Linked DNA regions of Caenorhabditis elegans. The protein of the gene in region 2 interacts with the protein of the main gene of each other region in a pairwise test. Each region holds a gene or a part of one and is shown on either strand. Other genes may lie near its edges. The genes, in order: sgt-1 and trap-4.

The links.
Region 1: the proteins of trap-4 (region 2) and sgt-1 interact in a two-hybrid assay, tested with the Caenorhabditis elegans proteins (2 studies listed by BioGRID).

Annotation. Positions count from the first base shown.
Region 1 is NC_003280.10:4,888,592-4,905,619, forward strand, and holds sgt-1 (SGTA homodimerization domain-containing protein), read right to left. Parts: upstream 15,206-17,028; 5' UTR 15,203-15,205; coding exon 15,046-15,202; intron 14,993-15,045; coding exon 14,304-14,992; intron 14,173-14,303; coding exon 14,005-14,172; 3' UTR 13,697-14,004; downstream 1-13,696. Other genes in the region: pgm-1 (phosphoglucomutase (alpha-D-glucose-1,6-bisphosphate-dependent)), read left to right, coding at 852-1,097, 1,151-1,431, 1,479-2,364, 2,416-2,709; gst-9 (putative glutathione S-transferase 9), read left to right, coding at 2,997-3,129, 4,407-4,894; msp-33 (Major sperm protein 33), read right to left, coding at 3,720-4,103; msp-32 (Major sperm protein 32), read left to right, coding at 10,238-10,597; R05F9.9 (MSP domain-containing protein), read right to left, coding at 11,558-11,699, 11,746-11,776, 12,082-12,268, 12,531-12,722, 13,042-13,215, 13,299-13,382, 13,434-13,508; btbd-10 (BTB domain-containing protein), read left to right, coding at 16,468-16,618, 16,677-16,795.
Region 2 is NC_003281.10:11,918,607-11,935,036, reverse strand, and holds trap-4 (Translocon-associated protein subunit delta), read right to left. Parts: upstream 14,303-16,430; 5' UTR 14,297-14,302; coding exon 14,251-14,296; intron 14,117-14,250; coding exon 13,788-14,116; intron 13,736-13,787; coding exon 13,631-13,735; 3' UTR 13,450-13,630; downstream 1-13,449. Other genes in the region: Y56A3A.7 (Homeobox protein cut-like), read left to right, coding at 857-871; dolk-1 (dolichol kinase), read left to right, coding at 1,399-1,484, 1,998-2,141, 2,185-2,280, 3,659-4,033, 4,950-5,148; nft-1 (Nitrilase homolog), read right to left, coding at 5,704-5,859, 5,912-6,087, 6,151-6,375, 7,975-8,284, 9,431-9,586, 9,633-9,788, 9,947-10,042, 11,100-11,147; Y56A3A.22 (DUF1279 domain-containing protein), read right to left, coding at 11,350-11,515, 12,151-12,311, 12,876-13,340; ccf-1 (CCR4-NOT transcription complex subunit 7), read left to right, coding at 14,817-14,945, 14,993-15,277, 15,330-15,848; znf-593 (Zinc finger protein 593 homolog), read left to right, coding at 16,324-16,430.

The DNA.
Region 1 (17,028 bases), on a different chromosome or scaffold from region 2:
AAAAGTTGAGTTTTTCTTAAATACTTATCAATATTTTCTCCAAATTTCATTCGGTTACTATCAAAAAAAAGTTTTTTATTAATTACGGTCGGTTTAAAGGCACAGAAGGAAAAAAGTGTTTGTCAGTATCGCAGCGATTTTAATTACCGCATACCATTATTGAAATTTTGTTTGAAAAAAACAAATTACTCGAAATGCGCGCGCGGTATTCACCATTTGTATCGTTCTTTTTCCCGAAATTTCGTTGTTTTTGTGTTCGACACAATATATTCAATAGTTTGTAGCGATGAAAACCTTGATAAGCAATAGGGGGCGTCTCGAATTTTCGAAAGAGAGTATAAAGAAGATAAATTTTTTTTCGCTCATTGATTTCTTTTCATTTTTCTTTATCTTTTTTGATGAACAGCAGCAGTTGTTCCATTTCTACACGTATTTTGTTGCTCTCTATTTCTCTGAACTCTCTGTTTGTGTGGGTGCTCTCCTTTGGCGCCAACAACTGCAGCTGGCATTTCTTTTCTTTTTTCGCTGCGAAATCTGAACTATTCCTGCCCACCCACCAGAAGATAAATAAATTCTTCGTGTTCTTAACATGTCTGTCTACCTGGACTTTAAAAACCCCATTTAAAAGTTGCATTTGAGGTCAAAAGTTATCCCAGAAGAGTTCGAGCACATTTTAGGTCGGCCCATTTCTAAAGTTATTCATTTTTCTATGTTTACTATCACTGAACATTGACCAACCACTTGACTTTCGTGATAAGATACGAAGCGATCATTTTCTGTTTACTATTTTCTCTTTTCTCATAGTCAGTCCATTTTATTTTCTGATCTATAATATTTATTTTCAGCCTAAAATGGGAATCGCCGTCGTTGAAACCCCCACAAAACCATTCGCAGGACAGAAACCCGGAACATCTGGTCTTCGCAAACGGGTTCCGGAATTCCAGCAGCAGAATTACACGGAAAACTTTGTTCAAGCAATTTTGGATGCTGGTCTTGGATCGAAAAAGAAGGGTTCTCAGTTGGTTGTTGGTGGAGATGGACGGTTTCTTTCGATGGAAGCCACAAATGTGATTATTAAAATTGCAGCAGCCAATGGGGTAAGAAATATTGAGAAATTTTAGTAATTTTTTTATAAATTTGAGTTTTTCAGCTTTCCCGTCTTATCGTCGGTCAAAACGGTTTCTTGTCGACGCCAGCTCTCTCGAATCTTATCAGAAAAGGACACGAAGGTCGTGTTGTTGATGGAGGAATAATTCTCACTGCTAGTCACAATCCAGGAGGTCCAAAGGGAGATTTTGGAATCAAATTCAACTGCGAAAATGGTGGACCTGCTCCAGATCAAGTCACTGATGCCATTTATCAGATCACAACTAAAATCGATAAATACTTGATTGCCAAGGATTTAGAATGCGATTTTACACAAGTTGGAAGGTAAACACATCAATATTTTGATTACATTGATGTACATTAATTTTCAGATATGAATATGATATTGAGGGAGTTGGTCACTTTGTCGTTGACGTCATTGATTCAGTTACCGAATACATCAACCTCATGCAGAAAATCTTTGATTTCCCAAAAATCAAATCCCTTCTCGCTGGTGAACTTACTGGACGCAAACTCAGAGTTTTACTTGATTCGATGCACGGAGCAACTGGACCATACATCTCTACAATTCTTGTCGATCATCTTGGAGCTGATCCTTCTGATCTTTTGAGAACTGTTCCAAAGCCAGATTTCGGTGGAGGTCATCCAGATCCAAATCTCACCTACGCAAAAACTCTTGTTGAACGCCTCCACACCGGAGAACACGATTTAGGAGCTGCATTTGATGGAGATGGTGATCGTAATATGATTCTTGGAAAGAATGGCTTCTTCGTTTGCCCCAGTGATTCTTTAGCTGTTATTGCTGATAACATTGATTATATTCCATATTTCAAGACTCGTAAGGTTGCTGGTTTTGCTCGTTCAATGCCAACTGCTGGAGCTGTTGATTTGGTTGCCAAGGCAAAGGGACTTCAAGTGTATGAGACACCGACCGGTTGGAAGTACTTTGGAAATCTTATGGATGCTGGAAGAATTGCTATTTGTGGAGAAGAATCATTCGGAACTGGATCTGATCACATTCGTGAGAAGGATGGCGTTTGGGCACTTCTTGCATGGCTTCAAATTCTCGCAGACCGAAAAGAATCCGTCGAGGAAATTGTGACGAAGCATTGGCAGAAATATGGAAGAAATGTGTTCACTCGTTACGACTATGAGAATGTGGATGCAGCTGGTGCCAACTTGTTGATGACTTTCCTTGAAGCTCAATTGCCAGCATTTGTTGGAAGAGATTTCTCGGCAAATGGGGTTACATATAAGGTGAGAGAAAGTTCGAAAAGATTTATTTTTTCTAAAAAATACTATTTCCAGGTTGCTGTCGCTGACAATTTCCAATATACTGATCCAGTGGATGGTTCAGTTGCAACCAAACAAGGACTCCGAATTGTCTTCGAAGATGGATCTCGATTGGTATTCCGACTCTCTGGAACAGGATCTGCCGGTGCTACCATCCGTCTCTACGTTGATTCGTACATTCCTTCAAATGACACTTCTCGCCTTCTACTTCCAGCTCACGAATTGCTCAAACCATTGGTGTTGATTGCACTTGATACTTGCAAAATGGAGCAGTTCACTAATCGCAAGGCTCCAACTGTTATCACATAATTTTAGTATTTAAAAATGATTTATATATTGCATGAGTTTAGCTAAATAATTATGTGTAGATTTTCCTCGGTTTATATAATTTTATGTTGCACGTAAACGAAAAGTTGAATGAAAATTTGAAAACTTATGAGAATATTGTGAAATACATCAATGTTGGTTTTTGGAAAAAAAAGTTGATGTTTGTGGTTTTCTGATGTCGATTTAGTGAGAAATGAGAAACGCAGACACTGAGAGCGAAGGGTTCAAAAGCGCCAGATTGTGACGAATTCTTCATTTTATTCTGAAAAATGGTTTCCTATAAACTAATTTATTTTCAATCTCGTGGAAATGGAGAAATCGCTCGTCAAGTTTTCGCTTTTGCCGGCCAAGAATTTATTGATGAGCGTATTTCTAAAGAGCAGTGGGCAGAAATTAAAAATAGTAAGTTCAAAAGTTGCATTTTAGAATGAAATCCTCAGTTTAAAAAGTTGATTAATTACAATGTAGCGAAATGCTTCAGTTTTTAAGTGGTATCCCGCCACGAACAAAATATCCTCACATAAAGATTAAGGTGTGCCTTTAAGCAGTACAGTAACCCATTTTACAATTTTATTCGATTTTTCCACATTATTAAATAAATTCAATTCGATTTTCTACTGAAAAAAATCGAAAATATAACAATTCAAATATATATTTATTATTGGGGATTTTGGCAGATACTGCAGAAATTTAAAAAACTTTGCAATGCAAAAAAAAAATCAAAAATTCCAGGCTTCTTTTGGAATCATTTTGGCAGAACCTGCAGAAATATTAAAGTTCGGTTTTTTTAAAGAGATGATCGAAGAAACATTGTAGTGTCGAGCCAGCTGATCTAGAGGAAAATGCTCAAACGAGGAGTGGAAAGGAAGCTCTTTTTTCGAGCATGACAATATTATCTCGTTTGAAAATCTCTGAAAATATGTTCAAGTAAAAAAAAACAAAAAACGAGCTATCAATGAAAGTTTATTGAAGTTTTGGAAAGTTCACAAATCCTATGGGTTGTACTCGATTGGGAGGTTCTTACGACGAACCATACCGTCTCCTTGGAACCATTCCCGACGGAATTGCTTAGCAGCACCATCCGGAGTGTTGGTCCACTCAACAGTGATACGATCGTTGTTAGTGTCCTCCTGTCCAAAGGCGAAGGCATCGCAGGAAACTGCCAGAAAAACAGCTTCCTTTGGGTCCAGAACTCCACATGGTGGATCAACTCCAAGTCTCTTCATATTGGTGGTCTTGATACCGTATCCAATACGGCGAGCAGATGAGTTGATCACCTTGATGTGGTAGGTGTGCTTGTCGTCGTACGGGGCATTGAACACGATCTTCGTACCCGGCTGGGTCTGGATATCTCCTGGTGGGACGGATTGGGCCATGGCGACTTCTTTGTAGAGTGAGAAAACTCACAGTGAAGATTATGACAAAACCTTCTCTATTTATGCAAATCCTTATCACTGTCCTAGATCTTTACGTCACATAATGTTCGAAAAGTTGAATGAACTTTTGAAAATTCGTGAAACTTTTATTCAAATCTTCAAAAGAATATCGAAAAATAGGAGATCACTTGAAAATTTTTTTTTATTCAACAATTTCAAAAATTATCAAAAATCATTCTTTAAACGAACAAAAAATCCTGTGCTCAGAAACATAAATATTTCTTATCTTAATATAATTTTCAGTGACCCCATTTGGACAAGTTCCAGTTCTAGAAGTTGATGGAAGACAACTGGCACAATCGATTACAATTGTTCGGTATCTATCAAAACAATTTGGAATTTCTGGAAAATCATCATGGGAAGAAGCTCAAGTTGATGCTCTCGGTGACCAATTCAAGGATTATCGTGTTGAAGCACGGCCATTCTTTAGGGCCAAAATGGGATTTTCCGATGGAGATGTAGATCAACTTTACAAAGATTTATTCGTTCCGGCTTTCAATAAAATGTACTCAATTTTCACTGAATCTTTGAAATCCAGTGGAAGTGGTTTCCTTGTTGGAGATTCTTTAACTTGGATGGATTTGGCCATTGCTCAACATTCAGCTGATCTCTTGGAAGCAGATGGAAAAATTCTTGATACATTCTTGGAGATGAAAGATCATCAGAAGAAAATTCATAGTATTCCAAATGTTAAAAAATGGATTGAAAAAAGACCAGTTACATCTAGATAAATTATAGAACTATTTATTTTAGTGTTCATTTTTATCTACCTCGTAAAATATACCAAGCTATCAAACAATAAATAAACCATTATATAATAGCAACATCTTTGATTTGAAACTACACGGTCTGAAAAGTTATTTCATTGATTTATGTACAATTAAAACGGATAGGAAATCAATAGGTAATCGTGCCTAAATCATGCCTATTTCTGTGGTCTCATTTTTGAGCAGTAGGCACATAACTCTTGGGAAACGATGAGAGATCTGATCTGACTATATAGTGGGAACTTCTCTCTTCTAACCTTGTGAGTGGGTTACTATAGTCAACATCAAAATTTCAGAGATTCAGAGACACAAAGATTGACTGAAGTAGAAAAATTTCTGAGGAACTCTAAGATTGACAACCATTACTGTCAGAACAGAGTATATATCATAACAATCTCTAATAGCAACAAAACTAAAAACATTTTGTTAAAACGAAATATTAATAAATACAACGTTTAGATCTAGGACAGAGATAAGAGCGAAATTTGCTATAAATTGAGCAGGTTTTACCATAATCTTCACTGTGAGTTTCCATACTCTACAAATAAATCGCCATGGCCCAATCCGTCCCACCAGGAGACATCCAGACCATACCTGTGCGGCATTCGGCATTCGGCATATGCCGATAATGCCGGATTTTGGAGCGGATTTTGGAGCGCGGCATATGCCGTTATGCCGGTTTCAAATTTCACGGCATATGCCGTAAATGCCGTTATGCCGAAAAATAAAATGACCGGCATAACGGCATAATGCCGACATTATGTCGGCATTATGCCGTTTTTTTTTTGCATTTTTGGCTTTGGTTTTTTTTTGCCAAAAACCATATTTTCATAATTTTCGTGTATCCGATGAAACATAAAGATCTTGCAAATAGTAAGGTTTTTTCGCGGATTGTTCCATATTTGAGATTTCCTGAAGCTTTTTGCTCAAGCATTTAGAAAATTTCTGCAACAATTTTTGCTTGGATCGAAAATTGTCTGAAAATGCACCAATATGTTTCAACGCGTGTACATTAACATATTTGAATTTTTTTGCATGTTTTCAGTAATTTCCATGATATAAAAAACAAAAAGTACACTACCAATGTACTCCATTAAATGTTATTTTGAAACTGGAAAATTTAATGTTTTGCGAAAAAATGAGAATTTTGTGTGAAATTCTCGAAAATCTCACTAATGATCCGTCAGAAGGTGCCCATCGGACTTACATACAGTGCCGGCCAATATTCTATTCGTTTTCGGTATGTGGGTGATTAGCTTGAGTTGTTCAAACACGTGTAACTCAAAAACTGTAATAGTTAGCAAAATATTCCAAACTAACAAAATGTTGCCGATTACTTTTTCTACATTTTTTATTTTGTAAAAATAATCCAACTCTGTTCCAAAAAAAATTACAGCAGCTGACATCCGGTGGTTCCGTTTTTGACTTGAATTTCTAAATGATTCACAACTTTGAAACTAGATGTTTTCAAGAAACAAAGTTTAATGAGAAAATAATTTCCATAAAGTGTTCTACGTTTTGCAATGTGTTTTTTGTTACAAATAGACCAGGAGATTCTATGAAAACAATTAAAAATGAAGCACAAAGTTTGACATTTTAAGCATGTTCTGAAAATCGAATTCAAACTTTTCACAGAGCAGTTTTCGCATGGAAAACTTAAAATGCGAATAGTTTTAACATGTATAAAAAGTTTTTCAACCCAGAATTTGATTTCAAAAAAATATTGCATGCATTATGAAAACATGTTGTCAATTCTTACCCTTCTATTGAAGGTTTAATATTTCGTATAGATTTCGTATAAATCGTATAAATGTTCCTGGCCACTTCGTGACAAAGAAACAAATTGTAAAATGTAGAAAAATTTGTGGAAATTTTTTTCTTGTCAAACTTTGTTTTATGAAAACATCTAGTTTTAAAGTTGTGCGTCACTTAACAATTTCTGTCAAAATACCAACCCGCCGGATGTCAGCTGCTATAACCGTAACTGTATGAGATTGAATGAAATAGATCTAATATGTAAGTCGCATGAGCACCTTCTGACGGATTCCTAGTCAGGGTGTCCCATAGCATTTGGACGGTCGACTTTTCAACTTTTTGCTCTTTATCCTTCAATTTGAAATGTGAGTATAAAATTGTAGATACATAGGTTTTTTGGTATGCCAATATTAGTTTCCCAATAAAGTTCGCAGATGCCCTATACAGCTCAAATGGAGGGGGATTGATAGCAGTTGGGCGCATTAAAGTACTCCTATAGAAACCTAAAAACATCTAACCAATAACCCCAACTCAATATCTTGTCAAAAGCCAGTGTTACGCCACATACCAAAATCAGACGAATACTATTTGTTAGATATTGGTAATGATATAAAGAACATGGAAGTTTGATTGAAAACATTCAAATCATGTTGATTTTTTGTAACTGGAAAACAATAGTTCCCTTTAGAATCATAAACATATATCGTGCTCCTTCTTGCACTTATCAAAATACTGTTAGACTAATTAGTAAAATTGAAGACCTTGTGGAACATCAAGGCAAAGTTGTAGTTGTGGGAGATCTTAATATTGGAGGTATCGACTGGGGCCTCAACGACTAAACTAAATTAGGTTCTTTATTAGTAGATCTGTGCAAAAACCATAATCTGGAACAATGTGTCAAAATGCCAACCCGCAAATCGAAAATTCTGGATGTTGCTCTTTCTAATTCCGTAATCAGCAATTTAAACATCATGGCCCCAATAGGGTCTAGTGACCACAATACCATTAAATTTACGGTACAGCTCTTACAAAATATATCTGTCCCTAAGAAAATGATACCAGATTTTTCGAAACTGGACTGGCCCTGCTGTGCAACATACTTTGAAAACATAGAGTGGGGAAAGGTATTTGATACCCGTTCCCACGTGAACGATATTTATGAATGCTTTCTAGGCCACATTAGAACAATGTTTTCGCAGGCAGTCCCAACTATGCCGATGCCAGAGACTTCAAAACCAGTGCCTCAATATTTAAGGTCTTTTGAACAAATGGTAAAAAACCAATTCAGCAAAACGATAATGTCGAAAACTATGAATGATTTTATAGAATACATTTACCTAGAGAGAAAATATAGAAAAAAGTTGCGGAAGTATCTAAGTAACCTGGAGGTAAAGTTATTAAAAAAAAGGGCAATAGTAAGTTTAGTAAACACGCAAAAACTCTTCTGAACCCGCGAAACTGTAGTGTTCCAACCCTGATAGATAATGACGAAAATGAAATTGTCTCTGAACTAGACAAAGCAAATCTTCTAGCATCCTACTTTGAGGCTCAGTATACAAATCAAAATAACAAGAACTTTGCTCTAGCCGATGATTTTGTATCAGAGCAACCAATTCCCTGGGTTACTGATGCAGAAGTTCTAAAAGTGATCATGGCCTCGAAAAAGTCTTGCTCTGTAACAAGCGACCAGGTCCCATTTACGTTTATAAAAATACTATCGCCTCTCATCAGTAGCGTTCTGGCCCAGATTTTCAACTTGAGCATGATGAGAGGGCAAGTCCCGCACGCTTGGACCAAATCCATTGTAATACCTCTTGGAAAAATCACTAACGCTAACAATCCAACCGACTTCAGACCCATTAGCTTGACCTCGCACTTGTGCAGAGTTTACGAAAGATGTATATTAGCAAAAATTGAGTTATTTCTAGTAGATAACAAATTTTGGTCACAAAATCAACATGGATTCCGCCCCAGAAAATCAACGGTGACTAATATGTTAGAATCTTTGAATGATTGGACTAAAAGTATTGATCTCGGTGAGCAAATCGATATCATATACCTAGACTTTTCCAAGGCTTTCGACCGCCTCCCACATGACTTACTTTTAGATAAACTCGTATCTTTAAGAATGAACAAAAATTTACTGATATGGTTGAATGAATTTCTGTCAAATAGAAGCTTTAGGGTTAGAATTGGGCAAACGCTGCCATCCAGAAAATTGGCCACTTGTGGCGTCCCACAAAGCGCAGTTCTGTCACCACTTTTGTTTGGTATCTATGTTAATGATATATCATCAATATTACCCGAAAAAGTAGCATGTAAGCAGTTTGCAGATGACACGAAATTGTATGTATCGACCCCTAAGACTGAAAGCGAAAACAATTTACAGTCTGCTCTAGATGCTGTAGTAGATTGGACAAGGGGATCAAAACTCACTCTAAACCAATCTAAGACAGTTCACGTCACAGTAGGAAAACGTAGAATAGATTTCAAATACCACCTAGACGGTTACCCTATTGAGCGAAAAGCTATTACCCGAGACCTTGGATTTTTAATCTCTGAAAAGCTGGATTTCTCTGAGCATTGGAGGAAATGTATCAATCTAGCTAAATTTCAACTGGCCAACATGTTCAACCAGTACAGTACCTCCAATAAGAAACTAATGATTCTCTTATTCAAAACTTTCATCCGCCCTCGTTTAGAATATGGAACAGTAGTGTCTTCTCCGACAAAAAAATCGGATGAGAAAGCAATAGAGTCTGTACAAAACGCATTCACTAGGCGCCTTTATAGTAGAATCAAAAAAAGATATATTAATCCAACTGATAAAGATTACAAAACTGCCATGGAACGTAACGAACTATTCGACTTCCAAACCTTAAGCACGAGACGTAAAATAATTGACAGAATCCAAATAATCAGAATGAATACTGGTAAAGTAGACTTAAAAACATCTGAGTTTTTTGAGCAACAAGAGACCCACACTCGTTCTAAAAAGAAATATATCTGGAGCACAGGAAAATCTAAACTTAGGAGACACTTTTTTGTTAACAGAACACTACCCACAATGAAGCAACACTGATCTAATGTTACCTTATCCTCACTTCTATCCATCATTTATTCTTGCCATTTATACATCGATATTTCTGTTTTTGCTTCTTCTCCAATGTAGCCATCATTTTCTTCTCATCTCTTTTTATTTTTGTTTCGTTTTATTTGTGTAATTTATTTATGTAACCACTTGTGATGGTTTGTATCTATTAATGTGTGTTTTTTTTTCTACCTCACGATATTTTACTATCGTAATAAATTAAATTAAATTAAATTAAAAATGCCGAAATGCCGAATGCCGAATGCCGGCATAATGCTGGTTTTTGGAGCGCGGCATATGCCGAAATGCCGATTTCAAAATTCACGGCATATGCCGAAAATGCCGTTTTGCCGAAAAGAAAAATGGACGGCATATCGGCATATGCCGATATGCCGAAAAAAATTTTTGGCGGCATATGCCGTTATGCCGTTATGCCGAAAAATTCCGAATGCCGCACAGGTATGATCCAGACCCAGCCGGGTACGAAGATCGTCTTCAATGCACCATACGACGACAAGCACACCTACCACATCAAGGTGATTAACTCCTCGGCTCGCCGTATTGGATACGGTATCAAGACCACCAATATGAAGAGACTTGGAGTTGATCCACCATGTGGAGTGCTCGATCCAAAGGAAGCTGTTCTTCTGGCAGTTTCCTGCGATGCCTTCGCTTTTGGACAGGAGGACACTAACAACGATCGTATCACTGTTGAGTGGACCAACACCCCGGATGGTGCTGCTAAGCAATTCCGTCGGGAATGGTTCCAAGGAGACGGTATGGTCCGTCGCAAGAACCTCCCAATTGAGTACAACCCATAGGATCTGTGAACTTGCAATACGTTCAATAAATGAAATTTGAAAGTTCAGTTTTTTGTGTCTTAAACTTTTCAGCTTTTAAATTTTGGTCCCTAAAGGAGCTTGTGTGGATCTCCAAATCGAATACAACCTTTAGAAGGCTTAATAAGAAAGTTCAATTTGTTTTTAATAGACTTCTTGTGCAATAAATCGAAATCTCCTTGTTTTTTCTGTATTGAACCTTTCAGCTTTTAAGCTAAATATGGTCCCATACGGCATTTCAGGCCATTTGAAGGCCCATATGATTTGCAGGACCCAAAGGGTCCTAGTTGATATTATGTACATATAATCATTTATTCAATAGTTAATAGAAATGCAAATTGCCAAAACGAGTTCTTCCAAAGTTCCTTCGGCTTCTCCTCCATCTCAATAAGCTTCTTCACTTCGTCTTTTGATATTCAGAGTCCGAGAGACGAGCCTGGAGTCATAGACTCCTACAACGGATTCTGAGTCTACGATAAATTAATTTTGGAATTAATTTCTGAACAGAAATGCTTTTGGACTTTTATCAACACAAAAAATTTGTTTTCAGCTCGTGAAACTACTGTTTTCCTCTGAAAAATTCAAATTTCGAGTCTACCGTTCTTGTGGGTACTGTATCTGAAAATGTTTACTCCTGGCATGTCTCAGTGTTTAAAACTTGATTATTAACATTTTTATTGAGCCATTAATGACAATAAAGTGCAGTAAAATAAGAATAAAATTATAAAACATTTGATGCCAAAAAAGTTGAAATGGTTAATGTCGCTGAATAGACTCAGCCAAATGATACATTTCCAGTCATGATGAGAACTCAACGGCTGAAATTGTAAAGGAGCAGCTGTGAGTATCGATTTTTGATTTTTTGGTGAAGAATTAGATGGAAAACTGATAGTAAAAAGTGTTCTAGCGGGGTTGAAAACAAATGATTTTTAAACGAGTGTTTTATCGTGTCATAATAGAAGCTGAAGATTCCGAAGATATAGAATTTGGAGAACCAACATCTGAATCGGAATATTTTATTTGCTTCATTGGTTTAGCCAGTAGATCATCTTGTGGTGAAGCTTCTCGTTTGATTGCAAGATTTCTGGAAATTCAGAGTTAATTTTAGTTGTAAAATATAGGAAACTTACTCATTATGCTCGTTGACTGAAGTTTCGAGTTCTGAAATTAGATTGCATTGTAGTTATGGTAGTTTTAATTTTTCGATTTTCAAGAAACTTTGCAGCTACAAAACTCACAAGTATTCCACAATTTTTCCTTAAATTTTTCAAGATTTATAGTGCTAAAAAAACTTGGTATTTCTATGAAAAAATTAATATTGCCACATTTTAGGAAATTGCAAAATACTTCTGGGTACGGTAGCTTTTAAGTTCTAGTCGTGTTGAGACCGAGTACCGTATTTTTATTCGAAATCACCGAATTTCACAACTGGCTATTAATGTTTTCGGAGCAAAAAAAAAACGTACCATCCTTATCTCTAACGAACCAACGTCCACCACTGGGACATTTGTCCCATTTAACATTTAGAAATGACATAAGCCAATCCCATGCTTCATCATCCATCTCTGCCATTCGTTCTCTATCATGATGAATTCCAGTTTTCAGACGACGATCGTATTGTTTATCCAAGACTTCTTGCCACATTATTGGTAACTGGAAAATTGGATTGTATTTATTTTTAATAGTTTTTTTTCTTGGAAAAATCGCAATATTTTAGTTGAAAAATATACATCTTTGCGTTTTCTTATGGAAAAATTGGAAATTTTCTGATAATTTTTTTGGGAAATCTTTAATTTAAAAAATCTAATTTTTCATGTATTTTCAGATGAATAAAACTCATTTTTCGTCTTTTTTCCCCGGGAAAAAACGTTTTTGTTGGTGTTTTTTTTAGAAAACGCGGTAAATCAAAACTCACATCTTTTAATAAAATTTTCTTCGCTGTTCCAAATGGGAATGTGAATTTGTTAGCCATTAATGAAACACGGCAATAAACTGGATTCGGTTGCTCCAAGTGTGGATCCATTCCGAGAATTACTGTTAGATATGTCAGCATTTTACGTTTTCGTCCATGATATGTGTGAAGTTCGCCCAATAGTGGATTACAGACCTGAAATAATTCGTTTTATACGGGGTCTGGTCTCGACACGAAAATTGTCCGTTAAGTGAAAACTGGTGTGCGCCTTTAAATAATACTGTAACTTCAAACTTTCGTTGCTACGGAATCTTCAATTTTTTCGAATTTTTTTGCAGTGAATTGACGAGTTCATGTGTTTTTTCAAACACAAGTTGTTAGTGAAAATCTATGGAAATCGATAAAAATTCTGCATAAACGAGAATTTGAAATTACAGTACTCTTTTCAAAGGCGCACACCTTCTTTCATTTTACAAAAATTTGTCGTGCGAAAATCGAAAAAATTATAGTGTACCTGAATAAATCTCTCTAAAGCTCCTTTCTTAAGTAAAAAAAGAAGAGCAGGTTCTGGATGTTTCGCACTATGATCTTTAATTGAAACACTTTCAACTTGTGATAATGGAATTCCAATATTCAATGGTTCCTGGCTGTCATCAATCGAAAGTCGAATACGGAAGCAGATTTTTTCCTAAAAAAAATTAAATTTATTTGATCATTTTTAGAGTTTTTAAAACACAATAATGCTCGTCACGCAATAAATTTTCTACTTACAGCTGAATTGACTCGAAACGTCAGTGAAGAATTAGGGAGAAGTGGTAGAGGAACGTCACCGAGAAGAATTTGTTTCGGGTACATCTGAAAATAACTTTTAAAAGAATTTAGATTGACAGAAAATTAAATTCCTACATAATTTCTATACGTTGGATCCAGATTACGACATTGTTCAGTTATGAAAAATCGAATCCTTTCGTGGCGTTGCATTCTGAATTTATTTTCAAATTTGAGGTTTTTTACAATTTAAATTGTTTAATTTAATACTAAAATATTTCAACAAAAAAATCAAAAATAAAGAAAATGTGAGTACTCCCGCGCTATCTTTCGTTTGGGTGCAAATCGATAATTTCGTGTTGGAGCGCGTTTGCAACCAGTGTGTCTGTGATGGAAAGAATATTTCGACAATATTTATTATTCGTGAAAAAAAAGAAAATTGACCCAATTTTTTGTTGGTAGTTAAAACATGACCATCTAATTAAAAACAATATTTCGATAAGGCTTGAATCGGGGGCGATTATAACATCATCATTGTAAGGGGAAATTCTGCGAGAGAAACTAAAAAAAACGAGTAACCATAAGCGACTTCGGCTTTTTCAAATCACATGAGAGCAGAAAGTAAAGACGAGAGAAGGGGAAAGAGAGAGAGAGAGAGATAACGAAATGGAAATTCGTGATGCGGAAGGAGATTGGCGGAAGAGATTATCTATTGTGGTGGGTTTGGTGGTGGTGCTCCTCCATCGGCTCCGGGGCCGAATTGGCGTCGAAGATTTTCAATAAGTTCTGGATTGGTCTCTTGCATGCGAGCAGCCATTTGCTGGCCAGCAGCCATCAAATCAGCGATTGATCCATTTCCAGACATCATGTTGTTGAACTGAAAAATTCAATATTTTAGAGCATACATCATCAAAAAACAAGCAATAATAATGAAAAACAATTAATTTTGACGGCCACGTGCATTGCCATTTCAATTAAATCTTTTATTCCCGAAAATTTGATACTTACCATATCAGAAAGTGCTGGATCGCTCATCATCTGTGAAGCAGCTTGCATAAGTCCTGGCTCGTTCATAAGGTTTTGCATGTTTGGCATTCCTGGCATAGCCGGCATTCCTCCCGGTCCTCCTCCCATGGCTCCCAAAAGCCCAGCCAATGGATTGGCACCTGGTGCCGGTCGCGAGCTTTCCAGCTCCTTCAATTTGTCTTCAGCAATTTTCAAATTATTCTTGTAACTCTCTTGATTTGGTTCAAGCTCCAAAGCCTTCTTGTATGCCTCAGCGGCATGCTCATATCTGTTTTGGCAAGAATATGCAAGACCCATTCTTCCCCAAGCTTTTGAGTAAGATGGATCAAGGGCAAGAGCTGTACGACAATCTTGGATGGCCAAATCATATTGTTCCAGGCGGCAATAAGCAGCAGCGCGGTTACAGAAGTAGACTGGATCTCTGTTGAGCTTGATGGCGGCATTGTACTTTTGAACAGCAGCTTCAAATTGGGAGGCTTTCATTAAATCGTTTCCTTCTTCTTTAAGCTTGTTAGCTTGAGAAATATCACTATCGCTCGGTGTTGGAAGAGCAGATTCTCCCTCTGGAAGTCCTTCGGCGCTCTTGAAAAGTTCGAGAATTGGGCGTGATGGTTGGAAAGCGTATGAGGCATCATCAAGACCAAACGAGTGTTCGAGACATTGAATTGCAACTGAAATTTTAATATATCTTAAGCTAAATTTATAGAAATAAATAGGAAAAAACCTTCAAGAGCTTCCGCTTGCTCGGCAGTGGCCTGATTTTGTGAAACCTTCTGGCGGATAAACTGAAGGAATGAGACAACCAAATTTTGCTCGTCTCTGGTCACAATTGGCGAAGCAGTCGGCGCATCTGGAGCAGAAGGCTTGATCTCCTCGGACATTTTCTTAAAAATAAAAATATATTTATTAAATAATTTTATATTGAAGTTAGAAAAGTAATATAAAGTTGAATTGAAAATCCATGATAAAGCGCAGATTAAAATATTCTTAAAAATATATAGTTCAAGAAATAGAAAATGGCATCGCTTAAAAATGGCATTCCGTGATTATTTTCACTCGGGAATCGCTCGCCCACTATGGGGGAGTCTACGCAAGGACAACGCAAGGACAAGGACAACATTCTAATGGAATGGAAACGATTGCCCGACTGCACCAATTCTAGTTCGAGCGAACAATGATAACTTTTGTATTCTATATTCCTTCACGTCTCCCAGCGAGCGTAATAAATTATTATTATTATTAAAAAAAAAGAGTATTAATTTTAAATGCTTAACTTAAAATCTGAATTTAAGCGCTCTATTTGCGAAATTTGGTCAATGAAGAGTGAAATATTGTAACGAGAATAAAATTGAAAAGTTTTTGAACAACGAAGAGTAAAATTAAAGATTGCAACGTCATTTTATTTCAGAATCAGTGCAAAAATTTCTGGAAATTGCGGGAATAATTTCATCAGCCTCAAAGGCACATGTCGGCCGTCACTTTGATGTGTCTCGCCACGAAAGTAAACCAAGTTCAACTGAAGAGACGGCAGACAACTTGACAGAAAAGTTGCAGCAGCGCGTAGAGTGTATTGTAAAGTTGAGAGAGTGCTAGAGAAAAAAAAAGAAGCGAGAAGCTGACTGGTGGCCCCAGGTCTCCTTCCAAAAGCCACTCATTTCCCTCTGTCGACACCCGTCAACTTAAATTTTTTGGGGCCAGAGACGTCTGGGTACCAAAAGTTTTATTTCAAGCTTGTTTTATTCGTTTTTGTTTCAAAAAAAAAGTGTGATAGTCAGGAGAACGCTGCTGTGAAATTTGTTGTTTCTGTAAAAAATGAAAAAAACAAATTGAAATCAAGCAAATTTTAATTTATTTGTTCGCAAAGTCCTTTTTCACTATGTTCCAAGCTTTCTTTTACCCAAATTTTCCGTTCGAAATGTGTTTTTTAAATGAAAACTTGTTCAAATTTGCGGAATTTTGAAAATACTTGTATTTGAATAATATTTACCCAGCCATTCTGCCTGTCATTCTTATTTTATACTGTTCAACTCCTCCCAAACTTTCACTATCTGTTTCCTAAATAAATAAAACTATATAAAATTTCGCACATTTTCAGTAATTAAACTGTCACTCTTATCATCTTCTTCGTCTTCCACCATTCTACAACATGTCTCAATCGGAAGAACAGAACAAAGACATTCCATCATCTTCAAATTTTGGAAACCCAGCAAATAATGGCGTTAATGTGCCAGATGCTCCTGCGCGACGACTCTTCGATAACACTTCTGACGAATCTGATGTTTCACTGGATAATGATGGTAAGAATTCGAATTTTTCATTCAGATTGAATAAAAATCAATAATTTATTTTTTTCAGACAAAACCGGGGCTGAAACTGACGGTTCCTCTTCAAGTCGTGGATGTCTGAAGAGCGAGAGATCTCGCAAAGATCATGCCAGCACGTCATCAACAAGAACTGTTCGTGCACCACAGCAGGTAATATATTTGTTTTTTTAATAAAAATTATCAAAAAAAAACGATATGAAGACATAAAAACCATGAAAAGTCGATAAAAATACCACAAAAGTTTTAAGTTACAGTAATTTTTAAAGGCGCACACCCGTAAATGCGGTTCTCGGTATCGACACGACAGTGTTTCGTAGATAACAAACAAGTGTGCGCCTTTAAAAAGTACAGTATTTTCAATCTCTCGCTCCTGCAGAATTTTT
Region 2 (16,430 bases):
AAACAGCATATTTTTGACGCGCAAAATATCTCGTAGCGAAAACTACCGTAATTCTTTAAATAAGATTAATGTAGCGCTCGTGTTGATTTACGGGCTTAATTTTGAGGCCCCACCAAAACAGAATGCACCTCAAAACAGGATTTACCAAAACAGGATTCACATAAACAGGATGCAGTGGGCGGAGCGAATTCGCAAGCCTCGCGCACGTTTTTTCCTTGATATTGTTGCATTTTTTCAAGAGAACACACGTGCGAGGCTTACGAAATAAGCGTGCGCTGGTTGCGAATTCGCTCCGCCCACTGCACCCTGTTTATGTGAATCCTGTTTTGGTAAATCCTGTTTTGAGCTGCATTCTGTTTTGGTGGGGCCTCAAAAATGAGCCCGTAAATCGACACAACCGCTACAGTAGTCATTTAAAGGGTTACTGTAGTTTTCGCTACGAGATATTTTGCGCGCGTCAAATATGATTTCTCAGGGGCATTGCGCTTTGAATAAATTTTTGCAGAGATTCAGAATATATATATATATATATATATCATGCCACGTCATCTTATTATTACGTGGAATACAATTACAATTTTACAAAACAACCAAGAAAGAGGCGGAGCCTATTATCGATTTATCCTGGCACGTGTAATTTAGAGTGGCAGAACGATCATATTCTGCAGCGTCGCACAGAAAAATAGGCGGAGCCTGGTTTTGCAAACCTGCGGCGCATGTTTTACACGACGGCCGGCGCGTGCCGCAGGTCTGCAAAACCAGGTCCCGCCTCTTTTTCTGTGCGGAAAAATCGATAATAAGCTCCGCCCTTTTCTTGGCATTTTTTAAATCGAATTTAATCAAAAAAAATTTCCAGACACCAACACCCTAATCCGCAGAACAACACGACCCTCTCCATGAACACACTTTTTTTTTCTTAATTTTTTTTTCTTTCAGCTGAAATTGTTAAAATTTTCAGTTTTCACGAACAGCTTTCATTTTAAAATGACTTTATTCCTACTTATCATCTGTATTTAATTTAATTTAATAAAAAATTTTGAAAAAAAATTAATTTTAGAATCTACACACACGAAATGTAGATGATTCTCATCGAAAATATATATGGTTTATTTATTTTTCAGTTTTTCCAGAATTTTGCGAAAAAATTAGCGCCGCACAGAAAAAGAGGCGGAGCGTAATTTTGCAAGCCTGCAGCGCGGTTTTTTTCAAAATTGATTTGTCAAATAAAATTCCGATTTTCTTGTAAGATTTTGGCCAATATTTTTTTTACAAAATAAAATCAATTAAAAAAAAGAGGAAAAACCGTGCCGCATGGTTGCGAAATTAGGCTCCGCCTCTTTTCCGTGCGGCGCTGATTTTTTTGTTGCAAAATTCACGAATTAACCGGCTCACTTTAGAATGCTCGGCGATGAGTACGGTAGTCTTGTCGTGGTGGCTACGGTCGCCACTTTGGTTATTGTCGCAGCGTCGTGGATTCTCAGACAGTAAGTTTAACAATTATTACCGGAATTTTGCAATTTTCGCGCCAAAAATACGGTATTCCCGGTCTCGACACGATTTACAAATTTTTGTTAGATGCGAAAGGGCGTGCGCCTTTAAAGAGTACTGTAGCTTCTGATCTTTCATTGTTGTTTTATAGGCGAAAAATCGATAAAAATTCCAATAACTGAAATTACAGTACTCTGGCTTCCCTCATAAATTGAAATGGAAAAGTTTTTGCCGAACTAGGCCATTTTGGCTCGGCCATATCTGGGGTAGGTTTACGGCGCGTTGCGTGTCGCGTCGCGGCTCGATTTTAATTTTAAAACTATATTTATTTGTTCGTATGGAGTCCTGCAGGCGATTGTCAATGGAGCGCGATAAATTCAATGAGGAAGGCCAGAACCCCCCGTGAAAATTTAAAAAAAAACTTTTCGTGTCGAGACCCGATACCGTATTTTTGGCGCCGCGAAAATCGCACAATTTCACGTCTGCATAATAAGAAAATTCATCTCCAGCTCCCCAATAATCATCAATGCAGTATTCGCCGTCGTCATTTCCATTGCAATTTTCGCGTTTTCAAGTCTCGTAAATCGATCGATTCCGGAGACTTTTGAGCTATTATTCCGGATGGTAATTGGTCCACAAGACTCTTGGAATAGGTTTTTAAAATAAGTTTTTCTGAAAAAAAACGATAATTTTCAGAGTGTATATGGTGGCATTTTGGCTGGCAAATGTCGCGATTTCAGTGATTTTTTGTGCCTACGTTTCATCGATTGGAAGAAGTAGTACTGTGCATAGGTTGGGGATTTTTTTTGGAAATTAATTTTTTTTATTAACTCCAAATTTACCCCTGATTCCGAATTTCTATGTGAAAAATTAGAAAAAAACCCCCTGATTTTATATTTCAGCTTGAAATCGCGCCGGAGACACTCAATGGAGCGCGCTGTGTCATGTGGATTTACGAGATTTTTCGATTTCATTTTTTTTCGGGTTTTCTTAAAAATTTGAGTTTTCGTGCCAATTGACCATTTTATTGCCATAAAACTCGCGAAATTTCTCGCAATTTTCACTGAAAATAGGAAATTTCTCGATTTTTAGGATAATAACATGTTCAAATTCGTACGAAAAAGCAAGTTTTCAGAAAAAAAACCGGGAAAAACTAAAATTGAAAACTCTCGTAAATCGACATGACACGGCGCGCTCCAACGAGAATGTCTCCGGCATACCATGCCTACCATGCCTATAATACCTACCATGCCTACTATACCTACCATACCTACCATACCTACTATACCTACCATACCTACCATACCTATAATACCTATGATACCTATAATACCTATTATACCTACCATGCCTATAATACCTATAATACCTATAATGCCTACTATACCTACCATGCCTACCGTACCTACCATACCTACCATACCTACCATACCTACCATACCTACCACACCTACCATACCTACCATACCTACCATACCTAGAATACCTACCATACCTACCATACCTAGAATATCTATAATACCCACCATACCTATAATACCTACCATACCTATAACACCTATAATACCTATAATACCTATGATACCTATAATACCTATTATACCTACCATGCCTACCATACCTACCATACCTATAATACCTATAATACCTATAATGCCTACTATACCTACCATACCTACCATACCTATAATACCTACAATACCTACTATACCTATAATACCTATAATACCTATATTACCTACCATACCTATAATACCTACAATACCTACTATACCTATAATACCTATAATACCTACTATACCTATAATACCTATAATACCTATAATACCTTCTATACCTTCTATACCTACTTACCTACCGTACCTACCATGCCTACCATACCTATAATACCTACTATACCTATAATACCTATAATACCTTCTATACTACTTACCTACCGTACCTACCATGCCTACCATACCTACCATACCTACCATACCTACCATACCTACCTATTGTTTTGTGCTAATTTTTTGCTCGTTAATGATGTTGAAAAAGTTGCAATTATTCTAAAATTCGGTCACATTTTCGTAGGCATGGTAGGCATGTTAGGTGTGGTGGGCATGGTAGGTACGGTAGGCATGATAGGCATGATGGGCATGTAAATTTATAAACGTTCGCAAATTTTCAGAAAATTCTTCCATCTAACCGTCTCCCTCATCTACATCTCTGGAATTCTCCTGGATCCTCTATTCTCGTGGCTCTGCGCATGGCTCTGGTTGTGCATTTTCACGCTCGTCGAGTTGCTCCGCTATTTGAATGTCCCACCATGGGGTGGTGTGCTCAATGAGCATTTGTTGATTTTTAAAGATGCTCAGGACTCGGAGCTACTGCTCACTCCGATCTATCTCTTGGTTGGGATCTTTCTTCCATTGATGGTGTCCTGCTGGGATGTTGGAAGCTTTCAGCCGACACTTGCGATTTTTGCTGGGGTAGCTGCAGTAGGGGTTGGGGATTCGATGGCGGCGATTGTTGGCTCGAAATTTGGAGTTACCAAGTGGAAGGGGTAAGCAGGCCGATTTTTGATTCGTTTCGAAAATCGAAAAATCGAAAATTTTTGACTTTTTGGAAAAATGCCAATTTTTCAACAAAATAAATTCCCGCCTTTTTTCGTACATTTTTCGAGATTTTTTACAGTTTTTCGATGCTTCAATAAAAAAATTCGATTTTCTCTGAAAAAGGGTCTCGACACGAAAATTTTCTGCTAAATATAAAAGGATGTGCGCCTTTAAAAATCAATTTTTTTATTTAATTTTTTTTTGTTAAAAAACAGTTTTTTCGAAAAATCAATTAAAGTTCCGGAGAAACGAATGTTTGAAATTACAGTACTCTTTAAAGGCGCATTACAAAAAAAACAGCAAAAATTGTCGTGGTGAGACCGTATTTTTGGGCAAAAATCGCGTAAATCATAAATTTGAAACTCGCAACAACAACAAAAAAAATTGAAAATCAAGATAAAAAACGAAAATTTCCGGCAAATCGGCAGTTTGTCGACAAAATTTTTTTTTGAACATTGAACAATTGAACAATTCCGGCAAATGGGCAATTTGCCGAAAATAAAAATTTCCGGCAAATCGACAAGTTTGCCGGAATTGAAAACTTCTGAAAAATTGGCAAATTTCTGGAAATGAAAATTTCTGGCAGATCGGCAAACCGGCAATTTGTCGAAAATGAAAATTTCCGTTGCCGGAATTGAAAATTCACTGCAAAGTGACAATTTACCGGAATTGAACATTTCCAGCAAATCGGCAAACCGGCAATTTTCCGAAAACTAAAATTTCCGACAAATCGACAAGTTGCCGGATTTGAAAATTTCCGGCAAATCCGCAAACCGGCAATTTTCCACCCCCTGATTAGTATTTTAAATCCAAATTTCGCTATTACTTCATTTTAAAAAAATTTAATTTAAAAAAAAATTTCAGAAGTAAAAAATCGCTGGAAGGATCCATCGCAATGCTCTTCTCAATGCTGGTATTCCTTCTAACCACAAATCTTTTCATCAAAGATTCATCTTCAACAATTTCAATCATCATCGCATCTCTTGTAGCCACATTGGCTGAAGCTTTCATAAATTCAATGGATAATTTTATACTTCCACTCGTCACCTATCTTATTCTATGACTAACCGCTAGATATCACATTTTCTAATTAATTGTTTAATATATTACCTATATGCGAAATTTTGGGATTTTGGCGCCGAAAGAACGGTACCGGGTCTCGACACGAAACAAAATATTTCATTGAATGCGGTGCGCCTTTAAATGAGTACTCATTTCGGCTTGATCTACGTAGATCTACAAAAAATGCGGCAGAGTTCTCAACTGATTTCGCATGGTTAAGAACGTGTTGACGTCACATTTTTAAGGGCAAAAAATTCCCGCATTTTTTTGTAGATCAAACCGTGTTGGGACAGCCTGGCACCACGTGATGAGCACTGTAATTTCAAATTTCCGTTGCTGTCGATTTTTATCGATTTTTATTTTTATGATGAAAAATCCATGAAAATTCCGAGTTTTTAGCGCAAAATCGCAGTACCACTTTCGGGTTCATATGCTTGTAATTCATTCCGAACATGTAGATTTTTTTCACTTTTCTCCCCGTTTCTCTGTACTTGTATTTCAAAATATTATAATAATAATCTATTTATTCATAAATATAATAATCACACAATTGTTTCTACATAAGATTTCTATACACCACCGCTTCTTCTGCCATCTGTTCATTGGATCGTGGCTTTCGCTCGGGCTCCTTATCATGTGACGCAAGTTTTTGGTAGATTTCGTTATCGCCAAAGTCTCCGGCGCGGCGGGGAAGGATATGAATGTGAACGTGCTGAAAATGTTCAAAATTAAATTGGTAAAATGCTGCGGAAAAAAGCCCGTACTGGAACAGTCTGCCCAGCATCCTTCCCATCTTGCACACAAATCGTCGTCGACGTCACATTATGATGCTTCTCCAGCATTGCTTGAACCTTTTTCGCGACGATGAACAAGTCGGCAGTCTCAGCATCAGTCAAGTCGGTCAATCTTGGGACTACTCGTTTTGGGCTTACAAGAACGTCTGAAAATGGGGGAAATTAGCTTAATTTTAATTTTTTTTTTAAATAAATAATTTCACACTAACGTCCATCAGTGACTGGTTTCAAGTTGACAAATACAAATGAGTGCGGAGTACTGTAGAAAATATGATCAGCTGGAATATTGAATCGGGCGAATTTCAGGCCACCAGTTTCAGAAGATTTTTCATTTATGTGAAGTGTGTAGAGATCGGAGCGTCTGTGGGAGAATACTGGTTGCATTTCACGAAGAGTGTCCACGTAGCTCAAGTCGATTTCAGCAAAGCACATGTCTGAAAAATATTGATTTTTGTTTAATTTTAGTAAAAATCGATAATTTTTCTATTAATAAGCTTGTCTAATGTTTTAAAGAATTTTTAGAATTTCTTAAAATTTTCTGGAAATTTCTACTTTTTTTTGAGTTTTCTAGATTTTTTAGAATCAAAAAAAGGTCCGACTTTTCTTAAATTTTCTAGAATTTTCTAAATTTGTTTAAAATTTGTTTAGATTTATTTTTTAATTCTAGAATCTTCTCGAATTTCTTAGAATTTTCCGGACATTTCTAAAAAATTTCTAATTTTTTTCTTAAATTTTCTAGAATTTACTAATTTTTTAGAATTTTCCAGATATATTTTTTTAATTCTAGAATTTTGATTTATATAGAATTTTTTAGAATTTTTCAAAGAATTTACCAGAGATTTCTAAGAAAATTCAAAATTTTTTTGAATTTTCTAGATTTTTTAGAATTAAAAAAAAAGGTCCGACCTTTCTTGAATTTTCTAGAATTTTCTAAAAGGGATTAGAATTTTTTTTTCAATTCTAGAATTATCTAGATTTTTTCAGAATTTTTTTAGAATTTACTAGATATGTCTAAGAAAATTCAATTTTTTTTAAAATTTTCTAGATGTTTTAGAATTAAAAAAATTTCACAAACTTTTCAAAAAAAAATTTTTTTTTCAATGTTCTAAAATTCTCTAGTTTTCAAATCTTTTTTAGAATTTTCTAAAAAATTTCAGAGTTTTTGAGAAAGTTTTGAAAAATTTTTTTAGCATTAAAGAATTGAAATATGTCAGATTTTTCTGAAATTTTCTAGAACTTTCTAGATTATTTTTATAATAAATTTTTTTTTTAAAAGAACGTTCAATTCTAGAACTTTCAAAAAAAAATTCCAAAATAACCATAAAATTTTAGATTTTTTTTTATTTTTCAATGATTTCTACATATTACAGGAACCCTAAATTCTGAGAATACGTATTGCACAACATATTTGACGCGCAAAATATCTCGAAGCGAAAACTACAGTAATCCTTTAAATGACTACTGTAGTGCTTGTGCCGATTTACGGGTTCAATTTTTTAAATGAATCGATTTATCGCTAGAGTACTTAATTAAGCGAAAATTGAGAAAATTCATTTCAAAAATGAAGCCCGTAAACCGACAAAAGCGCTACAGTAGTCATTTAAAGAATTACTGTAGTTTTCGCTACGAGATATTTTGCGCGTCAAATATGTTGTGCAATACGCATTCTCAGAATTTAGTGTTTCTGTAATACAAATCATTGAAAAATTTGAAAACAATGGCACAAAAAACGGAATTTTAGAAAATTATAGGAAAATTCTAGAAATTTTTCGAAATTTAAAGCCTTTTTTTAATTCCTGAAAAGGTTTTTACTTTTTTTGAATTTTCTAGAATTTTTTAGATATATTTTTAAATATTCTAGAGATTTCTAGAATTTCTTCAAATTTCCAGAATTTTTAGAATTTTCTAGATTTTTTCCTAATTTTTTAAGAATTTTTTTTCCAATTTTCTTTTAGAAAATTTAGCACTTTCTAGGCTTTTCTAAAAAATTTTAGACTTAAAAAATGTTTTAAGTTTTTCAGAATATTCCGCACCAACTCTCTCGGAACACTGTGCAACAACAGCGCCCCACGGATCAACAACCATCGAATGCCCATAAGACTGTCGTTTCGGATTGTGGGCCCCAGTTTGAGCAGCCGCCACCACATAGCACTGATTCTCGATTGCCCGGGCACGAAGCAGAGTTTCCCAGTGAGCAAGACCTGTATTCAGTGTGAATGCACTTGGAAATGAGAGCAGTTGGGCGCCGCGTTTACGGTTCCACAAGGACAGCTCTGGGAAGCGAACGTCGTAGCAAATTGAGAGTCCGAGACGTCCGATAGGGGTGTCAACTGGAGGAATCATCTGGAACTCGGAGTAGACAGACAAATTGCCGGAATCGAAGATTTCTGGCAAATCGACAAATTGCCGGAATTGAAAATTTCTGGCAAATCGGCAAATTGCCGGAATTGAAAATTTCTGGCAAATCGGCAAATTGCCGGAATTGAAAATTTCTGGCAAATCGGCAAATTGCCGGAATTGAAAATTTCTGGCAAATCGACAAATTGTCGGAATTGAAAATTTCCGGCAAATTAACAAATTGCCGGAATTGAAAATTTCTGGCAAATCGGCAAATTGTCGGAATTGAAAATTTCTGGCAAATCGACAAATTGCCGGAATTGAAAATTTCTGGCAAATCGGCAAATTGCCGGAATTGAAAATTTCTGGCAAATCGACAAATTGTCGGAATTGAAAATTTCCGGCAAATTAACAAATTGCCGGAATTGAAAATTTCTGGCAAATTGGCCAAATTGCCGGAATTGAAAATTTCTGACAAATTGGCTAAATTGCCGGAATTGAGAATTTCCGGCAAATTAACAAATTGCCGGAATTGAAAATTTCTGGAAAATTGGCCAAATTGCCGGAATTGAAAATTTCTGACAAATTGGCTAAATTGCCGGAATTGAAAATTTCTGGAAAATCCACAAATTGTCGGAATTGAAAATTTCCGGCAAATTGGCCAAATTGCCGGAATTGAGAATTTCTGGCAAATCGACAAATTGCCGGAATTGAAAATTTCTGGCAAATTGGCCAAATTGTCGAAATTGAGAATTTCTGGCAAATCGACAAATTGCCGGAATTGAAAATTTATGGCAAATCGACAAATTGTCGGAATTGAAACTTTCCGGCAAATTGGCCAAATTGCCGGAATTGAAAATTTCTGGCAAATCGGCAAATTGTCGGAATTGAACATTTCTGGCAAATCGACAAATTGCCGGAATTGAAAATTTCTGGCAAATCGGCAAATTGTCGGAATTGAAAATTTCTGGCAAATCGACAAATTGCCGGAATTGAAAATTCATGGCCAATCGACAAATTGCCGGAATTGAAAATTTCCGGCAAATTGGCCAAATTGCGGAATTGAAAATTTCCGGAAAATTGGTCAAATTGCCGGAATTGAAAATTTCTGGCAAATCGGCAAATTGCCGGAATTGAAAACTTAAAAAAAACCTCAGTGCCAGCCTTGCTGAACTCGCTCTCCATCAATCGTACTTTTCCAGGAATCTCCAAATCGAAGAGGTGAAGCTTGTTGTACTCAGCACGAGTTACTCCATCGGAATCTATGATCAGATGGGTGTTCCATGGATGAGCAGCGTCTGATGGATCCTAAACTTCTGAAGTTCAGCCATTATTAATTTTTTCAAGTATTAACCTTGTGATGAAGGCCTCCTAGTGAAAGCCAAATATTGTGTTTTCTCGCCAACTCCCGATATTTTTCCATATATTCACAGTCCGTAGCCATCGCCAAATCGATTTGCTCATTTTTGTTGAGCCCAATGAAATCGAAGCATTCTGGTAGGAAAACCATCTGGAAACATTTTTTTTACATGATTTTAAAAATTATTCGATTTATGATTAAAATTGCCACATTTTTCGGAATTTTCGAAATTTTTTTTTCCTATTTTTAATCCAAAAATTCCCGTTTTTTCGACGGCAGCTTTGCTCCGGGAGCCGTAGAATTTTTACCTCGCACTTCTTTTCTCCGGCTCTTTCGATCATATTTTTCGCGGCTTGAAAGTTCTTTTCCAGATCGTTGTCGCTTGTCATTTGACATACTGCGATCTGAAAATATTCTTGGTTCGCAAAAATTTGGAAAAAAACTTATTTTTTTGGGTCTCGAAACGACCGAATTTTGGGAAACGCGGATTTCTGGCTTCCCTCATAAATTGAAATGGAACAGTTTTGCTGAACTAGGCCATTTTGGCTCGGTCATATCTGGGGTAGATTTACGGCGCGTTGCGTGTCGCGTCGCGACTCGATTGTAAAACTAAATGTATTTGTCCGTGTGGAGTCCTGCAGGCGATTATCAATGGAGCGCGAAAAAATCAATGAGGAAGGCCAGAACCCCGTGAAAAATTCGCAGAAAAAACTGAAAAATTGGAAAAATATTTTTTTTCAAAAATACCATTTAAAACTATCCCAATTTTGATAAAAAAGTTTATAAAATCCAAATTTAACTAAAATTTCGTATTTTGCGCGAAAATTACGGTACCCGGCGGGTCTCGACACGACAATTTTTCGTTGAGGGGTGCGCCTTTAAAGAGAGGTACTGTAGCTTCAAACTTTCGTTTTTTTCGGAATTTTTATCGACTTTTCATAGTTTTTAAACAAATCGATAAAAAAGTTTAAAACTACAGTACTAAATTTGTCAATTTGCCGGAAATGCTCCATAACGGCAACTTGCCAATTTGCCGGAAATTTTCATTTTCGACAAATTGCCGGTTTGTCGATTTGCCGGAAATGTTCAAAAGCGGCAACTTGCCAATTTGCCGGAATTTTTTAGTTCCGGCAATTTGTGAATTTGCCAGAAATTTTCATTGCCGCCAAATTGCCGGTTTGCTGATTTGCCAGAAATTTTAATTTCCAGCAATTTGCCAATTTGCCGGAAATGTTCAAAAGCGGCAAATTACCTGCAGGTCTCACCACGAAAATTTTTGCTACATGTTTTTTTAATAATGCGCCTTTAAAGAGTGGTACTGTAGCTTCAAACTTTCGGAATTTTTTAAATCGATTTTTCATAGTTTTTTTCAAAACAACTCGATTAAAAAAAAAATTTTTTTTCTAATTTGTCGTGTCGAGACCCAGAAATTTCTGGAAAAAAAACCCCCGAAAATCTTACAAAATGCCGTCCAGTCGCCATTGTTCGCCGAAAAACTGTGCTCAGCATGCGGCTGTATAACAAGGAAATCAATTGAAAATTAATTTTCTAGTGTTTTTTGGCAATAATAATTAGGGAAAATGACCAGATTTATGAATAAAAAGTTAAAGCCAAATTTTTCGGGGGGAAAAATCAATTTATACACACTCGGAAGCACCCTAACAGAAGAAAAAACAGTCTAAAAAACACTGAAAAATAATATCTAATTAGATTAATCATCCTTCTTTTTATTATTATTATTATCATGGAGTTTCGTCGTCGTCGGCTCATTGAGCTTCTCATGCTCCTTCTGTAATCGTTGAACTTGTCCAATATGAGCAGTTGTCGCGTGAACACTGTTCTTACGGCTCACACTTCGAACTCCAAGGTGGCGATAGCTGGAAAATATGGAAAATTTTGGGGGTTTTTCAGTGAAAAATAGCCCGAAAAATTGGATTTTTAGCCAAAATCTTCAATTTCTGTCACTTTTTCCTTGAATTTTACTGATTTTTGTGCCAATTTCGATCAAAATAGAGCCTATATAGGCTTAAAAACGCGTAAAAACTACCAAAATCGAGCTTTAAAGCAGCGCCGCACAGAAAAAGATGCGGAGCGTATTTTTGCAACCCTGCGGCACGATTTTTTCCTCCTTTTTGAAAAATTGATCTTTTCCAATAAAATTTCGATTTCACTAGTTTTATTCACTTTTTTCGAAAAATGTGAATAAAACTAGTAAAATCGAAATTTTATTGAAAAAAAAAACCTTTTTTTAAAAATGAGGAAAAAACCGTGCCGCAGGGTTGCGAAATTACGCTCCGCCTCTTTTTCTGTGCGATGCTGCTTTAGGGCTCGATTTTGGTCATTTTTACGCGTTTTTAGGATTATTAAGGCTCTATTTCGACCAAAATTGGCATAAAATCGGTGAAATTCGACATGGAAATTTTGCCAAAATTGGGAATTTTAGAAGAATTTAGCCACAAAAATGTGTTTTTTTTGTCAAAAAATGGATTTTTCCCCTAAAAAAAATGCTCACCGATACCAGCGTCGTCCGTAATGTGCCTTATTCAGCTCATATTCACTTCGGACCTTGTACTCGACTTCTCGAGCGGTCTTCAGTTTTCCCAATCTTCGGAGAGTCCAGAAAGTGGCTTGAATGAGCAAAAGTGTCGTCATGTAGCGGAATGGCATTGCGATCTGAAAATTTAAATTTTTATTATTACACATACGCGAAAAAATACATTTTTTTGGAAAAAAAAATTATTTTTCTGGTTAAATTCTGCTAAAATTCGTAATTTTTTGGCAACATTTCCACGTCTTTTGTAGTATTACATATACAAAAATACTGTAATTGGTCTCGACACGATAACATTTTTTCTTCAATGTAAAAAAGATGTGCGCCTTTAAAGATTACTGTAGTTTTACTTGTTGTAATTTTCTTTGTTCTTCGTGAGAAATATTAAAAAATCGATGAAACTCCACAAAGTTTGAAACTACAGTACTCTTTAAAGGCGCACACCTTTTTAACATTGAAGAATTTCGCGTCTGTGTAATAACCAGGGCTTCCCTTTTTGTTCCTTTTTTCTTTAAAAAATTAGTTTTTTCAATAAAATTGATTTCTTTACAAAACATGGTTTTTGTCTAAAAAATCGTGCTTTTTATACAAAAAAATTGGGTTTCTTCCGAGAAAATCTGTGTTTTTTCCAAACAAATTGTTATTTAATTAAAGTTTTCGAAAAAACATCTGAAAATCCTCCGAACCTTGTACAAAATCAGCGAAACCACCACAACTCCGGCGGTTTCGGGCGTATTTTTGACCTTTTCAACGATAGCATCCGGCATATGAAGCCATTCGAGCAATGAAATCACATCAACTCCACTTTTAACCACCAAATACAATGCGATAAACCATGCTGTACACGATGCCGCGTGAGCCGGCACAGCGATATACCAATATCTTTTAAAATAATATTTCACTTTTGCGAACAACGTTTTCGGCGCTTCTTCCGCCTTCATTTGCTCGATTTTCGCCGTTTTTGCGAGTTTTTGCTCCTCAGACATTGTCATTCTGAACATTTTCCATTTTTGATCGTCTGGCTTCTTCGGAGTGGGCTCTTTCTCGTGGAGTTGTCGACTTGTGTGCAGGAATCGTGAGCTTGATGGGGTCTGGAATTGAGCACAACAGATGCTCCGCGAGCATCGGATTATGGATCGAGCCAAAAGCATTTTGCCTGAATGAAAATTTTGGCCTAAAGGGGGTCTTAAAATTATCTAAAGTAAGTTTCCCGGGGATTTACACTCTCAACTCTTTAAACTTTTTTTTACGTCAGTCTAGCAATTAAATTTCAATTTATGGCTATTTGGGGGCTACTGAACTTATAAATACACGAATGGGGTGGAAAAAGGGGCAAAAATCAATAAATTACATTTTGTATATATAAATAAAAACAAAAAGAACAAAAACCCAGCACGCAAACGTGCGTTGACCAGTAATTTGGGGATAAAAACAATGATATTTAGTGGACAAGTTCGGTCTTTTGACGAATGGCGTAGTAAAGGCCAATGACGACGATGATGACGGCGACAGTCTCGGAAGAGATTGGAGACTTCGTGGCGAGACCCTGCAAAAAATGATTTTTAAAGATAATTATGTGAAAATGATGCAATTCTCACCCCATGGCTTTGTTGAACGGTGAAGAGTGGCTTGGTGACAGGGTTCTTGGCGTATTGAGCGGCTCCCTCCTCGTCGAAAATGTTAATATTAAAGGTTTGAGCTCCGGCGTCCTTGTGCTCAAGAGTCCATGAGACTTGGAACTTGGCGGTCTCGTCGGAAATCGAGACTGGGATAAGGCGACCGTTTACTTCAGCAGTGTATTGGATATTCTTCGGGTTGTTGCTGCATTGAAGTGTGAACTCGGTGATGAAGGTGGTTTTGTAGTGGAAGAATCCGTCGGTAGTGGAGAATGACGAGGCCGAGTACTTTGGCGACTCGCACTTGGCGCCTGGAATATTTATTGTTTTATTTGTATTAAATGTTAACAATCTACGCTTAAAATTCGAAAAATCGAGCCTTATTTTTATACAAGCCACACATTTGAATAATTTGTGTGGGAATTTATTAATTTTTCCAACTTACAAAGAGCGGAAGCGACAAGGCAAAGGGCGACGGCGATCTTCAGCATTATTACCTGCAAAAAAGTAATTAAATTCGTGTTTTGAAGAATTATCTTGTAAAATGAGTAAAATAGGCATTCTATACGTATTTTACTCGAATTTGCATCATTTTAACGCACAAAATTCATGTTTTTAGGGTAAAAATCAAGAAAATAAGTGAAAAATTCATTAAAAACACATTTTAATTCACTAAAACGATGTTTTCTCGACAGTTTCACGTAAAACAAACTCACTTGGCAGCTAGCCAGTTTGCAGTTCTCTCCCGTTCGCTGCGAGACCCACACCGCTGGGAAACTCCATGCGCCTTTAATGCCGATCCAAAATCGATCGTTCAAGAACTTCTTTTGCGCTTCAAAACTTTTGCAAACTGACTTTTTCTCCCGTTTTTCTGCTTTAAAAGTTTGCGGAAAAATTATTTTATTTATTTTATAAGCTATTTTCGATTTCTGTCCCATAAATTCGTTTAAAAAAATCGAAAATAAAAGCGTTCACTCTAAAACGAAAATTCTAGTTCCAGATATCATAAAAATGGCTTCTAGTAGCAGTGGTGGAGCAGGTGGAGCAGGTGGAGCAAGTGGAGCACCAGAAGTCAAGATTCACAACGTATATATGTCAAACGTGGAGGAGGAATTCGCGAGGATTCGAGGATTCGTCGAGGTACAGCCGATCGTTTGAATATTTTTAAAAAATCGGTTTTTTTTCAGGATTATCCCTACGTGGCAATGGACACAGAATTTCCCGGAGTTGTGGCGACACCGTTGGGCACATTTCGAAGCAAGGAAGATTTCAATTATCAGCAAGTGTTCTGTAATGTGAATATGCTGAAATTAATACAAGTGGGCTTTGCAATGGTCAATGACAAAGGAGAGCTACCACCGACTGGCGATGTTTGGCAGTTCAATTTCAATTTCTCCTTCGCTGAAGACATGTTCTCGCATGAGAGTGTCGAAATGCTCCGGCAAGCCGGAATAGACTTCACATTGCTGCAGGTTTTTTTAATATTGATTTTCCAATATTTTAATAATAATTTCTTTCTTCCAGAACAATGGAATACCGACAGCAGTATTCGGAGAACTTTTGACGACGTCAGGCCTCATCACTGATCCACGGATCACATGGCTCACGTTCTCTTCCGGCTACGACTTTGGATATTTGTTGAAAAGCATCACACTTGGAGATCTGCCTAAGGAAGAGTCAACGTTCTTCATGTGCCACAAAACTCTCTTCCCAACCAGCTTCGACATCAAAATCCTGCTCCGAACTCCAAATTGCGCGTCTGCAAAGCTGAAAGGAGGACTTCAAGAGGTCGCCGATCAGCTGGACGTGAAACGACAAGGAGTTCGCCATCAAGCTGGATCCGACGCACTGCTGACCGCCGCCACGTTTTTCAAGATCAAAAAGCAGTTTTTCGGAGACAACTGGAACCAGATTGCTCCATTGATCTGTGGACATATGTTTGGTCTTGGATCTTCGCTTTCGCTGTTCCATAGCTCCGGATCAACTTCTCGACTAGGCGATGAGACACCACAAGGCCTAATCGGAGTTCCACAACAAGCCTGAACAGATCTCTTTCCCGTCATTTTTCATGTGTCTATTTCTTTTATTTTTTTCTTCCTTTTTCCACCAAAAACCGTCTACACTGTTATTGTAAATTAGCTGTCTGTTTCGTGCCCTTCCCCATCTCTCACCCAAGTTTTTTGTGTTTTCACGCGCCCTATAATTTGTCTTTGTTATTATATCTCCCTATACTTGATGACTATACGCTTAGTTGTTTATAGGTGATCATTACTCTGAAAGTTCGATCTTTTTTATTTGTAATTTTCAGCAGCAGTAGAAGCTGGGCGAGATCGGGCGCCCCGTGTATCTTTTTATTTTCATTTTCCCTCCCCTATGCCCAAAAAAATAAAAATTTTCGAAATCTACTCGCGGAAACTTTAAATTTTCAACTAAAATAAGGGTTTTTGAGCCTGAAATTATCTTTTTCAGCTGTTTTGTCTAGATTCAAAGCTTAACAAAAGTAGTATTTCAGCAAAAAATGCCGAGCGGTGGACAGAGGAAGCACACGATTTCGAACAAGACACGTAAACGTCCCGGAAAGGATTTGGATCAAATCCATGAGGATTTGAAGCCTGAAAAGGCCGC